Linked DNA regions of Neurospora crassa OR74A. The protein of the gene in region 3 purifies or fractionates together with the protein of the main gene of each other region. This does not show direct contact. Links are inferred from orthologs where the notes say so. Each region holds a gene or a part of one and is shown on either strand. Other genes may lie near its edges.

Region 1 (4,067 bases), on a different chromosome or scaffold from region 3:
TAAACGCACCCCTTCCAGAAACGCTTACCAGGTTGACGCAAAAACTGAAGTTGGCTATGAGGTTGGCCGTCAATCTCGAAAGATATGTAAAGAAGCCTTTTACTTTCATCCACTGAAAGTAAGAAGCTCCGACGTTCCTGAAAGGTCCCTCCCGCCACAGCGCAACTCCGGCCCTCTCAAAATATATCACCACTGGAAACATCTACTGAGGGGATAAAAAAAAGGAGAAATAAAGAAAGGGGAATGGGGAGCGTATAGTAGAGGCATCTTCCTCTTTATAAGTACATATTAAAGGCAACAGGAGACTACTGGAATCTCCATGGGATTAATAGGCGCCCAGTATGGGAGCAGACCGTCAGTGCTCTCTTTGGTCGTCATAGCCCGGCTTGACCACTCTTTAGGTGGCTCGCCAGCGACTCAGACCTGCCTTCTGAGAAAGTGTCTCTACTCGAAAGCAGGAGGCTTCGCCCTGAAAACAGGCAAAACCATTACAAGCTCGTTTGAGGAGACGACAATCTCAGGCAGGCTTTACTGCTTTCATCATCCGGTTGCTTTACTTGCTGCGTCTGTGTCGCAAGGGATGATGGCCAAAAGTGTAGCCAGATCAAACGGGATGGGGTGAGGTATGAGAGAGAAACGCCAAACGCATCAAAGCAGGATACGCAGGCTGGAAGATGACATGATCCATTATTCTTTTAGCGCCATAGAAGCCATACCCGAGCCCATTAGCAAACAAGACAAGAGAAAGAAACCAAGAAAAGCTGATACTTGTAGACGACCACAGCTTAGTGCTTCCTCCTCGACGTGCTGTTCACCAACTTCTTCTTCATCGCCTTGGGTATCTTCTCTTTCCTCTTCTCCCTCTTGGCCTCCTTAACCGCCGCCTTGTGCTGCTTCTTTTCGTCCTTGTCGATGAACCTCTTGCCTCTTGGTGTTCCCTTTTCGAATCGGCTCTCGTCATCCTCGTCATCACTACCCTCCTCTTCGTCACCACTGCCCTCCTCCTCCTCATCAGACTCCTCCTCTTCCTGATCCTCCGCCGTCTTGTGCACCACTTGATCCGCCAACAGGTTCTTGTATACCAAATCCTCTCCTTGACCCTCGTTTACCTTGGCGACATCCTTCTCGATATCGTAAACCTCGTTCAGCGTCTTGGGGATGTACTGGTTTCTGAAAACCTCATTGTCGACCTCCTGCTCGGCCCTGGCCTCCGCGGTATCCTCCACCTCCACCCTCGTCTGGTACAGCTGTTCGACCGTCTCCTTCATACCGGGTTCCTCGGCCGGTCCCTTGGGGTTGACGATGAAATCGAAAATCGTGCGGTCTGAGAGCGTGTCGACACCCTTCCTCCTGAAGAAATCGCCGACGTTCTTGATATCCATACGCAGGAACTCGAGCGAGTGGGGATGGTCGTGCTCGACGGATTGGGAAACATCAATGATGTAGAGCTTCTTGTTGTTGTAGAGGATGTTGTATTCCGACAGATCGGCGTGGACGAGGCGGCAGACTTGGTACAGCTTGCGCATGAGGCCGAGGAGTTGGATGTAGAGGTCGCGCCATTGTTCATCGGCGTCGTCGCCCGAGATGGGAGCGTCGCGCAAACGGGGGTAGGCCCAGCCCTTGCGATCTCCCAAGAAGCTCATGACGAGCACGTGCAGCTTGAGCTTGATGGGCTCCGGGCAGGGGATGCCGGCTGTGTACAAACGGCGCAGGTTTCTGAATTCCTTTTCGGCCCAGAGCTTGACCATCTTCCTGTTGTTTCCCTTTTCACTGCCGCTCTTGAAGCGGTGTTCACCAGTAATGTACTTCTCGCGATCCTTGAACACCAGAATGGCCGTCTTGTAGATCTTGATGGCCTTGTGTATGGGGGCCGAGCCATCCTCGGGGTGGAGTATGGCACCGTAGACGTTGGCTTCCTTGCCCGTGCTGATGGCGCCGTGAATCTCGGAGACAAAGCCCTGGTTGATCATCTGCAGCAGGATCATGCGCGTGCGCTGGTCGAGGACGAGTTCGGAGGTGGCGCGATCGGACTTGTCTTTGCTGCGCTCGGCGGGACCGGAGGCATTGTCGAAGGCGTCGATGCGGATCTTTCCGGCGAACTTGGAGAGGGCGGCGATCTGGTCGTCGACGCGGGCCGACGTGTTGGCTGTGGGTTTTTGTTGCTGGGCCTGAGCTTGGGACTGCTGAGAGTTGGTAGCACCGGCGCCATGTTGTTGGCGGTTGTACGACTTGGTCAGGTCGGTGCCGCCATCTTCGTAGTCGAGGTCATCGTCGGATTCAAAGACATCTTGGAGGTCGTCGTCGTCGTCTTCCTCTTCGATCGCAAGGTTGTTGAGCTGGGCGGTGGTGTTGCTGAGGTCGACATTCTGGTTGTCGGTCGCCGCTGTGGTCGACGTGAGTTCTGGTTGGGACGCCATCTTGCTGCCGAGTCTGCTTTCGTCAGTTCCGCCGATATCAGCAGGTGGTGATGAGACAGGATGGCAGACGAAATGGAAATCGTCATGGAACTTGCGAACTTCCACTTCCCGTCCACTGGCAATTTTCTTGGTGGGGCGAGCTTACCTTATCTTATCGTAATGCGGGGTGTCTTCCAGTGGTAGGGCTGTTTTCGAGATTCAGGGTTAGGGTAATCCGTGAGTATCGAGTTCTTGACGACGACTCGACTCGAAGACGGATTGGAATGGAACTGAAGATGTTCTTGGATGTTTCCGTTCCACATGATATGGCTGCTTGTTAAGTAGTCTTCGGCTCACTTTAGGCTTCAGCATTCATAACATCTTTTCTTGCCTCTCCGAGTACAGACATTGCACCCCTGCACCGATGGCGACCAGTTTGCCACTGGAGTGAGCTTGTCGCCTAATAGTTAGTACGCTAGGCGATGATGCTGACGCTATCATTCTGATTCATTCCACTTCCACATTCATTCCTTGAGCTTTGGTTTGCATCTTCGACATCTCAACACGGTGCGGAACACACCTACTTCTGCCGGTGACTCAATCAACGCCAACAGCACTAACAGCACCCAGTGTACGCTTCCCTGTTGGACAGAACCCAGCTGTTAGTGCTCAAAAGGGGCGACCACCCAAAAGCCAATTCTCCACCCATGGGGCATAGGCCGATCCCCAAAGTCATCAAGCTAGCAATGGACACCATGGTCCCGGGTAATTACAGGGAAACCTAACATCATCCTTCTTACATTCCATTTTACTCACGGTCAAATCTGGTATATGACCTCTGGATATTTGCGTCTCATCAATGGAAACGATGGAGACTTGCAATCAAAGTAAACCCATCACGACCTTCTGGCCTGCTTCCACCTCATCCTGCAGGCATACATTGACATGACGCGTTTAGATGATTCGATTCATGGTCGTTGATGACTCCCACGTCAACAAACGGATAATGGGTCATCGACCACCCGAGTTCAGGAATGAACATATTTACATCATGTGTGAGCCGCAACTTGATGTCAACACGGAGCATATAATAGCACAGGGCCACAGTTTCCAACATCCAATAGGTAGGCGCGTCTCCCAATTCCCTTTTTATTTTATTCCGGCAACCCCCATCGGGATTCCAGCCTTGCCTAAACGGGCTCACAACTTCACTCACCATGTGCCACTCCTACATGGAACATCACTTTTGCCGTAATGGCGCCGATTGTCCAGCCGGCTATGGCTGGGTCAACGAGCAAGGGCAGCTGTACCGACGATGGTTCGAGCGCACTAGAAGACGGGTTTACTGCTATGCCAGTAGCAGCGACTGCCCAACCCGCAAGCGGGTGTTGATGACTGACTTATTCGTTTCAAGACGGATTGATGAGCTGTGTCCCCTTTGCTCGGCCGCAGCATGATTGGTATGGGAACAGTAATGGCGATGAGGTTGCTAGGGGGATATTTAGTCATTTGGGTCAAGGTCACCCGGGGCCTTAGAGATCTATTCGGAAACTTTGTTTTATGCTCGGAGTTTCCATAGATTGCTTTGATGCTCTGCCCCATTTCATGTCGAACATTCGCTTCTTTATTCCCTCCGAGCCTCAACTCTCAAATATCCCCCCTTCCTGCCCC
Region 2 (4,188 bases), on a different chromosome or scaffold from region 3:
GTAGGTAGACGGGCCGACCTAACAATGTCGTTGTCCCTCTTGTTTGTACTTTCAAAAATCCCGTGATGAGAGCCAAGATGAAGTGAAAAGTGGACAAGTTGAATCATCGTTCTTCGCAGTTGGATTCGGCCCCGCCGTGGCTTCCCCCCCTAAGATACGTACACGACTGTGTGTTTATTTGGCCAACTTGTTGTAGCTGGAACTTGCACATATTCCCACATGTCGCTCCGCGTCGTCTTTCAGCAAGTTATGGTTTCTCTCCAAGGTCAAGTCGAGAAAGGGAGAGATTTTCTGGGCACATTGATTTTCATTCTGTAGTAACTATGTCCATCTATCGGTTCTAGCCACCCCGCTTGGTAGTCTATGGTCACGATCAATTTTCTCCTCGTGTGTGTCGTTTGGTGGTGGTGACCGAGGATTGTCACCTTGAATCCATTCCGAGATGCAGTAGTCCAAGCCGTCTTCTATAAAAGATATAGCCATTTGATATCTAAGCCTGCTATGGTATTCCCATTGACGTTGGCCTCGCGTGTCTCTGGCTATTGTTGAACCTTGAGAGGACGCAACATGCTAAGAGAGACCAGCGCCCTTTCCTCTCCCAACATTCACAACAGGGGGCCTAAGAACTTTTGTCGGGGATACTCATTATCATGAAAATTGTCATCATCAGCTCCCACCACACATGCCGCCTAAACCAACAATACCAATCTCAATGCGAGCCTGACGCGATGAAAGCTGAGCACCAAAAGAAGAAACAAATCCAGTAACGCCCAAATATGGTGGACCATGGTCAAGAACCGCACATGGCGGACAGAGACCAAAGCAAATGCCCCCCGGGTAAAAAACAAATCCAACACGCCCACCATTCTACATACACTCAAGGGGGTGGATCCGAACAGGTTCCCGAATGTTGTCAAAGGCCGGCGTTAAAAGCTGTTCTTCAGGCCAATCCAAGACTGCTGGTCCCTTCCTGTTGAGGCGACAAGAAGGACAAAGGTATCCGAGAGTGAACTACCACAGAGAACCGATACTCATCGCTTGACCCCATTTAGAGGATTTCCTTCAGTTTTTCCTTTTGTTCAGGCGTCAAGCTGGTGGGGAACTTGACATTATACTTGACGATGAGGTTGCCCCGTTGGCCTGGTTGCTTCGAGATGGGCATGCCCAGGCCCGGATATACATCTTGGCTCCCAGGTTGTGTCGGGCCGGCCTTCTCAATGTTAATGCTCTTGCCGTCGATCGTCGTGATGGTTCTCTTCCACCCTGTCAATGCCTCCTTGAGGTCTAAGTCGATAGTATGAATTAGGTCGTTGCCGTCCCGAGTGAAAAGCGGATGTGGTTTCTAAAACCACATTGTCAGCTGGCCATTCCTTCAAAAAGGCAATGCGTGAAGAAAGGGAAGGGAGTTTATACGTACCTCTTCGACGACGAACACCAAATCCTGCTGGCCACCCTCTTCTTGATCACCAACACCCTTGAACCGGATTTTGCTACCCTTCTTGAGGCCGGGCTTGATTGGTACCTCCAAGACGGTATCGCTCGTCGTGCGCTTACCGGTCTCGTCAAAGGTCTTGCGCTTGATCTTCATTTTCTTCGTCGTGCCGTGGAACAGATCCTCAAGGGATACGGGTAAGGGGCGTTCAACTGTCGTGACTTCGGGTGTTGCTTGGCGGGCGCTGCGCATGTTGTCGGCGCCGCCGAAGGGGTTTCTCGCAGTTCGGCGCTGTCCTGCACCACCACGCGCAGCATTAAAGAGGATGTCTTCAAAACCCATTCCGCCCATGCCACCACCCATGCCACCACCCATGCCGCCGCCCATCTTTTCATCCCGGAAAGCATCCCGGAAGAGGTCCTCGGGGTTGGTAAAATTGAATCCATAGGAAAATGTTCTCGCACCTCCTCCGCCACCAGGCATGCCTCCTCCTCCAAAGAAAGAAGCAAAGCCCTCGGGCATGCCACCAGCTCCGGCAAATGGGTTTGCGCCGCCCTCAGTCGGGGGCGGGCCGCCTCTCAGGATAAATTCAAGGCCGAACTGATCGTACATCTTGCGTTTCTCGGGATCCGAAAGGATTTCATACGCCTGAGAGCACTCCTTGAATTTTTCGGCAGCCTCCGGGTTGTCCTTGTTCTTGTCGGGGTGCCATTTTAGGGCGGCTTTCCTGGTGAGGGGTCAGCAGGGGTCCACTGAAGGCTGTAAGAGAGGATGATGTGAATGCCAAAGTGAAAGAAGGATGGCGTAGGAAAGAGGAGATCTCTCCCTCGATCTTATACTGCGAGATGCGAGAGCAGTTATGTGGGGTTTCGGGTTGGAGATATGCTCACCTGTAGGCTTTCTTGATCTCGTCCTGGGTAGCCGTAGGGCTGATCCCTAGCAGGTCGTAGAGCTTCGTTTCCTTGACCATCTTTGTGACGCAATATTAGAGACGAGTGTAGTGTATGTGAGTCTAGTAAAAATGTAGAGGCTGTTTCGCGAAGCTTGATCAGAGCCGCGAAGTGTCTCGGCGGTCGTTAGGTGCAAGGGAGAACAATTAACCCGACGTGTTCTGTGTTGTTGTAGTGGTACGGGTAGGGTAATTAAGGTAGAGTGAGGTAGCGATGACAGATGCGTATTAGACGTTAGCGATTCTATAGCGCTCGTGGGTCCTTTGGATGGCTCGTAAAGCGCCTGTCAAAGTCGATCTTGATGGAATGCGCGAGAGCAAATTCGCAATGCAAGAGTAGGGATTTCAGATATTGAACAGAATTGAGATGCAACACAGAGTCGGAGAGGAAGCTATCACTTGGTGGAAGAGGGAGGGACAAGGCCATAAAATGCCTTGGCGAAGGGCGTGTGTAGCAGGAACAGGAGGTTGTAGAACCTTCGACCGTGAGCCTATCGGCTTCCAAGACCTGGAGATAGTGACGCAGGGCTCGCGTAGTGGGTACATGCTAAAAGTAGCGCCTGTTAGTAATCTTCATGTCCCCGAGCAGTTTGCTGCTGCAGGGAAAGAGTAATACTAACAATGTAAGTCCAGGCCAAGTCCCCACTAACTGATGCGGGCCGCCAAGCCAGCTAGCAGGAAGGGAAGCTCCATTAAGTAGTTGACCTTCGCTTGACCTCAGCGAAACTGTGCTAGCAGTCTGCTGAGCGGTTGGGACGCGTCCGGAGCACCTATCAAAGATGAACATCATCACCCAGCACCTTCGATGGGCTGCACATCACCAGATATTTGAAAGTTAGATCCAGCTCAGTTCGTCATACCAGTATACCCATTCGCCCGCAATCCCATTCTTCTGGTACTCACTCGCATCGATGAAACAGGATGGATTGCCGTAAATCATGATCGCGATTCCAATCAATCATCCTTACATTGTGCCTTATTACAAGGCAACGAAGAAGGTTGCACAACCTCATGGAAGCCAACAGCAAGCAACGGCCGCACTCGATCTTTTAATGACAGCCCCATGATAAGGAAAATCCGCGACAACTCCACACAAATGAGGCCTGGATAGCTCACCATAGAACTTGTAGTCAGGAGCAGATCAAAGTCAAAGCATGTCTTCAAGAACTTCTCCATATGAAGGATTAAACTAGTTCGTCAAATATGTGTCATCAACCACCAAGGAGAAGCAAAGCGGGACTCTATTTCTCGAATCACGACGGTACAGAGCAGATCTAGAACAAGTTAGACCTGAGGCCTACTGTCATGACTTTCCAAATAAGCCCGGTTGACCTGCTCTGATGACCCCTGACGAAGGCAAAAAAAAAAAAAAAAAAAAGGTGCAAAAACACGCCAAAACAAACACCGAGAAGAATAATCCACGTTGCTCGGTATGTCCTAACTCAAACCGCTTCGTACACATAGAGAGTCGAATTCCTTTCATCGGGCAGGAAGAACAGCCTCATCTTACCGTCCACGACAGCCACATCCATTGGATTCTTGGTCATTGCAGCACCATGTTCCGACACCAAGGTCACAGGAACCTCGTGTAAAGGAACCATAGTTTCCATGTCCACTATCGCGATACCGCCGATTCTCGTGTTCGCCAAGTCTGCAACGCCAGAGCATAACATCACTGGCCGGGTCTCGTAAAGCTCGTAACGACCCAGGAATTTGCAATCCTGATAGTCAATGAAGCTGCTCGGATTCCTGACCACTGCCCGCGGCTGAGTGAACTTGGCGGGCGCCAGATGCTTGTCGTGCCCGT
Region 3 (4,148 bases):
ACCTTGCTGATATGTCGTCCACTTAGCTGCCAGCCAGATTCCTACGTAACGCGCCCAAGGATGCTCCGGCTGTACGCATCGGCCTGGTGGGCGCCGGCGTAGGTTATGGCCTCTTCGCCGCCCGCGACTTTACTAAGGACGAATTCATTTTCCACGAGGCGCCTCTCATGACGGCCCTCTTCAACGAGAAGTTCTCGGCCGACGTCTCCCTGATGCACAGCCAACACCAGGCTTACAAGGCCGCCCTAGCCGACGGCGGCCAAGACATCGTCACGCTCGCCTTCCCTATACTCGCCGCCCGCAACGGTATCCCGCCTGCCCCCTGGGAAGACGCTGAGCCCATCTTCTCTGCCGAGTCTATCGAGCCCGACGTGACCAGTTCAAGGAAGAAATTCTTTGGCAGGAACCTCGTGCACGGCCGGTTTGCCGGCTCGATCATCACGCGGGAAGAGTACGAGACGTACGTGGCTGGCGTGAGCGAGATGCTCATCGCCAACCCGACGGAGGAAGACCGACAAAAGGCGTGTCACGATTTCTTCAAACATTATGCCTTCCAGGTTAAACGGACCACCGCTATCCCAACCGCGACCGACATCCCTCATCTGCCCTCACCATTATCACCCCCGGTCTCACCAACAATAATAACCACCAACACTCTATCGCCCATTACATCATCCTCAACAGCCTCCGCATCAATATCCACAAGCACACCCCCAACACCAACCACAAACTCGGACGCCTGCATCTACCTCCTTGGCTCCCTCATCAACCACTGCTGCACTTCGCCCTCCTCCTCCTCCTCCTCGGCTTACGTGGCGCGCAAGCGTACCGAGCGCGGCCCAAACTGCGAGTGGCGCATTGGTGCCTCGGGGCTGGCCCACTTTGTGAAACCAAAACACATTTGCGTGCAGGCTAGGAGGGATATCAAAGAAGGCGAGCAGCTGACGTGGGACTATGGGAAAAAGGAAAAAGGGTTCGTGTGTGAATGTGCGACGTGTAGGGATACCTTTATGGGGTATTGTTGCGGCGTGCTGTGAGGGACGGTGCGTTCGGTCGCTTGAGGGAGTTGAGGAGGAGGTTGAGGACGTGATGGTGACTGTTGAGTAGTGCAGGATGGGTGAGGCTAGGCAAGGCCATAGCAGAGGGCTGGTAGGATGATTAACAGATGAGGACCTGTATGCTCGATGACGTTGGTATGCTGGGAAACGGCCTAGTCAGCGAGGGTAGGTTAGAGTTCCGTAACGGGGATATGTGTGTTTATGATTTATATTCAAATCTTGATACTAAGAAAGGATCAATCTGCGAAGTGATGAATAAGGCAGGCTAGATACGATAATCCAAGGGAGTTCTGTTTTATTGTTCTCCTCATTCAGCAAAGCTCAATCAAGGAAACCGCGGACAAGAGCTATGTGTGTGATCACCTAGAACGTTGCACTCATCATTACTCGTTTGTACTATCTCGTCAAAACTAAGATAGTCCCTGGCACATTTGTCCATGCCATGACCAAATGAGCAAACCCGCGTCCGTTTTCGCCGAACCCATGATTTGAGACAAAATGCAAGTACCACCCATTTCCCAGAGCATTTACTTGAGAGGAATGAAACGAGAAGAGTGGGTAGCACCGATACCGGGGCGACCGTGCTTGACGGGCTTGCTGTAACCGTAGTTAGCACACACGTCTCCCTGATTATTCGACAGGGGCAGGGGATAACGTACTAGGAGATAGAGAACTCAGCGAGGTAGTGGCCAACCATCTCAGGCTTGATCTCAACCTGGTTGAACTCCTTGCCGGAGTAGATACCGATGACGCTGCCAATCATCTCGGGGACAACGATCATGTCACGGAGGTGGGTCTTGACGAGGTCGGGCTTCTCGTTGGGCTTAGCCTCCTGCTTAGCCTTGCGGAGCTTCTTGATCAAGCCCATGGGCTTGCGCTTGAGGCCACGGTTGATCCTGCGACGGGCACGGGCGTGGACGACATCGCGGAGCTCATCGGAGCCAAGGTCGAGGAGACTGCACGTAAGAGGTTGCTGTCAGCACATGTGCTTTCATGTGTCATGGCGCATCGCGAGCGCAGCATATGTTCCCTTCTGATTTGAGCAAGCCGACCGAGCCATCCAAAACTGCCCAATCCCCCAGTAATTGTTGATGTCGAGTGAGTGCCGCTTTCCCCTTTTCTCTCTTATCGGTAATGGAATGACGTCGCATGTCTGGCTCGAAATATATCGTGATATTCCCGGTCGGTTTGGTTTGGTCGTCTAGCTGGCTGGCCGGCTTGCTCTCTTCGGAATTTGGAATCTCAAAATGGCGAACAAGCGGGAGAACCTACGCATCGAGATCGATACCCCTGTAAGAGAACTTGCGGAAGGTTCTCTTCTTCTTGAGCTCAGCGGCCTCCTCGGCGTTCTACAGCGTAAAAGGTCAGTCTTCCGTTCTGCCCATTTTCCTCATTCTCATTCTGAGGGTGTGCAATTTTGTGTGCGTGTGTGTGGTCGTTGTCGTCGGGAGGGGACCAATTCGATTATGGCCGCCGTCCGCTGGGAAGTACACGATGATATGTGTTTGGCATCATCGTTATCATAAAATGAAGGGCACGTACGTATTCGTCAGCCATCTTTGCGGTAGGTGGTTGGTGATCACGATTTCGCTGTTCGTCGGGGTATCGAAGAGCGAAAATCTGACTGTCGCGATGATGGGAGTGGATTTAGGATTCCGGCCCTCACAGCAAGCAAAACCTCTAGCCAGTGGCGGCGGGTGGGCGGTGCACGTCTGTCCGTAGGACCCACCGGGGAAAATTCGTAGGGCTCTGTGCCCTCAACAGCCCCGCCCCAGCGCGCTTGAGCTGTGTTGTGGCTGAGGCCATGGATGTGGCTGGACAACCAAGGTTTTTGCTGTGAATCCGGCATGAGCCAACCTGTGGCGCACCAGGTTCTTGATAGTCACTGGCCATCACGGTACTTGCTTTAGTACACACCCGATCACCATACGTAACGCGGTCTTCGTCGCGACTGGACGGATGAAGCATCATCACCTCATTCATTCCCGCTGTGTCATCCCGGTACGAAGCCAACCACCGGATGACTACATTCTGTCATTTCCCAAATTTCCTCGCTATTTTTGGTCAAAAGTCCGAGCACCAAGTTTATTCACAGCATTGGCCTGACACATATTTAAGCATCAAGCATGCCAGCAGTTCGCCGGTCACGCATTGCCTCTCGTCATCTTTTCACAATTGGTGTTTTTGGAGGCAGGCAACTATGTACCAAGGTCACATTGTGCTTCTTATCTTATCTACCACCCTAGTCTGGACATCCGCAGGACCTGAATTCCCCTCTACATATCCTTTCTCATCCTCAGCCGCTCCTCTTCAGATGTTGTGGAACACTGACAGACTGGACAAGGCCTGCCCCGAGTTCGAGAACATACTGTTACTCGCACACGATGAGCCCAAGTTGGCATTGTGAATCCAAGCGGGTTCCCAATAGAACAGTCCCTTGCCCTTGGGCACAGAAGCTACCACGTTTGCCACGGCCTTGATCCACTGCGACTGGCCGGCGGCGTTGAAGGGGATGTTCTTGGCGTCTGACGGAAACGCATATGCCGGGTTTGGGCATGAGCTTGGCCAGTCGGTCTCAGCAACGACGAGCTCTTTGCCCCATCTGTTCGCCATGTTTGTCAAGCTTGACTTCAAGGACGACAGAGTCGCCGAGGGCGTGTAAAAGGGATAGAACGAGACCCCCATCATGTCAAAGTCGGAAGACACCAAAGGCCCTTGCTTCAACACATTTGTATACCACCAGTTCTGGGTGTCCCAGTTCCTGTGGTGGTTGGCCAGATGTTAGCTCTATACAGGATCCGGTTTTAAACAGCAAGGGGACCTACCATCCGTTGTCAAGATGGATCATGATTTTGGGCTTGGGGTTCAGCCTCGAGTCTCTAATACCGGCAGACGCTGAGTGCAGCAAGCGCGCGATGTTATACCACGAAGAAGTGCCTCCCGTCGGCCAAAGCAGACCGCCGGTGATCTCATTGCCGATGGAAATAATGGCCGGTTGCACACCATTATCATGGAACTGGTTCGACGCATCGAAGGTGTAGTTGTATAGCTTCCAGGCCAGGTCGTCAATGGCGGTCGGCCATCCGGAGG
Region 4 (2,370 bases), on a different chromosome or scaffold from region 3:
GCCTTGTGTAAATCTGAAAGAGGAAGGAGAGGAGGGTTGAAAAAGAGAAGATGCAAAGTAGATGGAAACCCAGTCCAGTCAGTTCACCAGGTAGGTATAAAAGTCAATGCCGTGACTCAATTAGTGAGTGAAAACACAACTCAAAGTAAAAGGTGATCACTAGCTTCAGATGAGACCAGTTCTGGAGTGTGAAAAAAAATAGACACCTGCTGTTCTGGTGGACGGACTGCAGTGCGTCAAGAGAACGATCGAATATTGGACAAGTGTCTAAACTTGTTATCGGTATGTAGTCGGCATACACTGAAGCGTCTTAGCACCAGACCACTGCAAAGGATGTGCGCAGGAAGGCGAGCAATGAGGGCACCACGCACCAACTGGCTACTTTGCCGGAACAACCAAGTCGGTCAGCAACACCTTCCCCCCATTGTCGTGTTGTTGACTACTCTTCACAAGTATCACCCTTGAATCTCCGGATGTGAACCAGACAAGCGTACTGCCACCCACCCAATCTTCTTATGATTAATAACACAAAAAGTGAGAGGAACAGATACAAGAGGCTGGCAGCATGCTACTCATTCAATAGTATTTGGCTGATTCTAGCGGGTCGGCTCTTGATAAAATGCCGGGTTGGGTTTCATACAAGAAATACGACTGATTTGGTGACTTACATAAACACAAAAAGAAAAAAGAACGCCGCCATATTTCATTTCACAGACCATAGAACTCCCATCCATCGCCACCGAATTGGTCGTGATCCTTGCCGCCGCCGCTTCTTTTTCCTTTCGTCATATCACCAGCACCAGCCAGCCCATTCATGTGTGGCTGCTCTGGTGGTACGTCATTTCGGCGCGACTCGTAAGTCGGCGCAAACTCATTCCTAAGCTCCTCTCCAACTAGTCACAGCTCATCGTCCTCGAGCTCGCTGGGTTTCAGCAGGCCGCTGACCTTGGATCTCCTCTCGATATCGGCCGCCTTGGCCGCCGTCTCTTGCTGCTCCTTCTCCAGGAGGTAGAGCTCGGCATTGTCGCCGGCGAATTCTCTAAGGGAGATAAGGAAGTCACGCAACGCGAGGCGGAACTTGTCGTACTGGGTGTTAAGGGTGAAGAGTCCCTCAACAAACGAGGTAATCTGGGCACTGTTTTGCACTTTTGGTTAGCTCGGTACCTTACAAGGTCCGAAGGTGGGGAAGAAAACTTACGGCGTGAGGTTGGCAAAAGCGGTCTGCAGCAGATTACCCACGAACATGGTGAGGAACTCCTTGTTGCTAGTGCCTGGCTGGGCCTGATCGGGCTGGTAAATGGGGCCCTGAATCCTCGAGGGCGAGCCATCGGCGGGGTGGACAAAGTAGAACATGCGCATGAGCAACATGGACTGGGTCTTGAAGCCAGCCTTGTGGTCCTGGTCGGTTAGAACGAAGAACACATCCTGCAGAATGCTGACAAAGAATTGGTTGAAGAAAGCGTTGGAGGTCTGAACGTCAGTCTTCTCAGCAATGTTGTTGACGAGCTCCAGGCACATGTTAAGGCCCGCAGTCTCAACGTCGCGGTTGTCGTGCTTGCTAGCCCACATGCACGAATCAATAACAAACTTGAACTGACGGTTATCAAGCTTCAAAAGCGCAGGGAAGCAGTGAAGGTTGATAGCGCGGAGGAGGTTGAAGAACTCGACACGGTGTTCGGGGTATTCGGAGAAGTTCTTGTTGATCATGTCCAGCGTGCATTCGAAGACATTCTCCATGATGATCGGTACCTGGTCCTCCATCAAAGCCGAGAGCTTAGTGATCATGGCGGTCATGGCCCTCAAGACTTCAGCGTCACGAGCACCAGGAACGTTACGGTTGTAGTCAACAAGCACCGAGTCCAAGAGAGGAGGCACCATCTGCTCCCGCACGGCCTGGAGGTCCTCAGCCTTGTCGACATAGGTCTCAATAAGCTTGAGAATTTCCTTCTTGATGGTTCGGAGCCCGCGGACCTTGGGCATCTTGGTAGCAATCTCACCCTCGCGAGCAACAGCCTCAGAAATCAGCTGACTGGTGGCGGCATACATCTGAAGCATGTCGCTATAGAGGTTGCCGATCTGAGGGAAGAAATAGGTACCAATAGATGAGCATGCCGAGACGTTGGTCTTCATGATGTTGCCAATAACCTTGATGGTGTCCGCATCCTGGAGGATGTTAGGGTTGAGGCTAGCTTGCCTGATAATCTCCTGCCACGCCATATTGGGAATCTGCATGAGCTCAGAAAGCAGCCTTTCCTGCTGGTGCCTATTGCCTTGAGCAGCTACCATGTAGCCGCAAGCCTCATAGAAAGTATGTACCTGTTGAGGAGTCAAGTCGCAAGTGATCTTGCCAAGGTCCCTGATGATCTCCTC

What was found.
Region 1: the proteins of NCU00971 (region 3) and stk-52 purify together in Saccharomyces cerevisiae (affinity purification with mass spectrometry; 3 studies listed by BioGRID). This does not show direct contact. The link is inferred for Neurospora crassa OR74A from reciprocal best matches to the Saccharomyces cerevisiae genes RPS15 and RIO1.
Region 2: the proteins of NCU00971 (region 3) and NCU03732 purify together in Saccharomyces cerevisiae (affinity purification with mass spectrometry; 3 studies listed by BioGRID). This does not show direct contact. The link is inferred for Neurospora crassa OR74A from reciprocal best matches to the Saccharomyces cerevisiae genes RPS15 and SIS1.
Region 4: the proteins of NCU00971 (region 3) and NCU01820 purify together in Saccharomyces cerevisiae (affinity purification with mass spectrometry; 3 studies listed by BioGRID). This does not show direct contact. The link is inferred for Neurospora crassa OR74A from reciprocal best matches to the Saccharomyces cerevisiae genes RPS15 and CRM1.

What each region holds. Positions count from the first base shown.
Region 1 is NC_026503.1:5,215,464-5,219,530, forward strand, and holds stk-52 (serine/threonine-protein kinase RIO1), read right to left. Parts: upstream 2,809-4,067; 5' UTR 2,563-2,808; intron 2,431-2,562; 5' UTR 2,418-2,430; coding exon 786-2,417; 3' UTR 299-785; downstream 1-298. UniProt on the Saccharomyces cerevisiae protein: Required for the final endonucleolytic cleavage at site D converting 20S pre-rRNA into the mature 18S rRNA. Required for the final steps of cytoplasmic maturation of the 40S ribosomal subunit.
Region 2 is NC_026505.1:2,238,605-2,242,792, forward strand, and holds NCU03732 (SIS1), read right to left. Parts: upstream 2,838-4,188; 5' UTR 2,403-2,837; coding exon 2,323-2,402; intron 2,160-2,322; coding exon 1,418-2,159; intron 1,343-1,417; coding exon 1,049-1,342; 3' UTR 290-1,048; downstream 1-289. Other genes in the region: NCU03733 (hypothetical protein), read right to left, coding at 3,824-4,188. UniProt on the Saccharomyces cerevisiae protein: Required for nuclear migration during mitosis. It is required for the normal initiation of translation. Might mediate the dissociation of a specific protein complex of the translation machinery. Essential for viability.
Region 3 is NC_026501.1:6,539,510-6,543,657, reverse strand, and holds NCU00971 (40S ribosomal protein S15), read right to left. Parts: upstream 2,802-4,148; 5' UTR 2,616-2,801; coding exon 2,601-2,615; intron 2,408-2,600; coding exon 2,331-2,407; intron 2,015-2,330; coding exon 1,718-2,014; intron 1,656-1,717; coding exon 1,586-1,655; 3' UTR 1,038-1,585; downstream 1-1,037. Other genes in the region: NCU00970 (hypothetical protein), read left to right, coding at 38-1,037; NCU00972 (arabinogalactan endo-1,4-beta-galactosidase), read right to left, coding at 3,369-3,819, 3,884-4,148. UniProt on the Saccharomyces cerevisiae protein: Component of the ribosome, a large ribonucleoprotein complex responsible for the synthesis of proteins in the cell.
Region 4 is NC_026502.1:2,299,468-2,301,837, reverse strand, and holds the end of NCU01820 (exportin-1), read right to left. Parts: coding exon 1,199-2,370; intron 1,136-1,198; coding exon 898-1,135; 3' UTR 557-897; downstream 1-556. UniProt on the Saccharomyces cerevisiae protein: Receptor for the leucine-rich nuclear export signal (NES).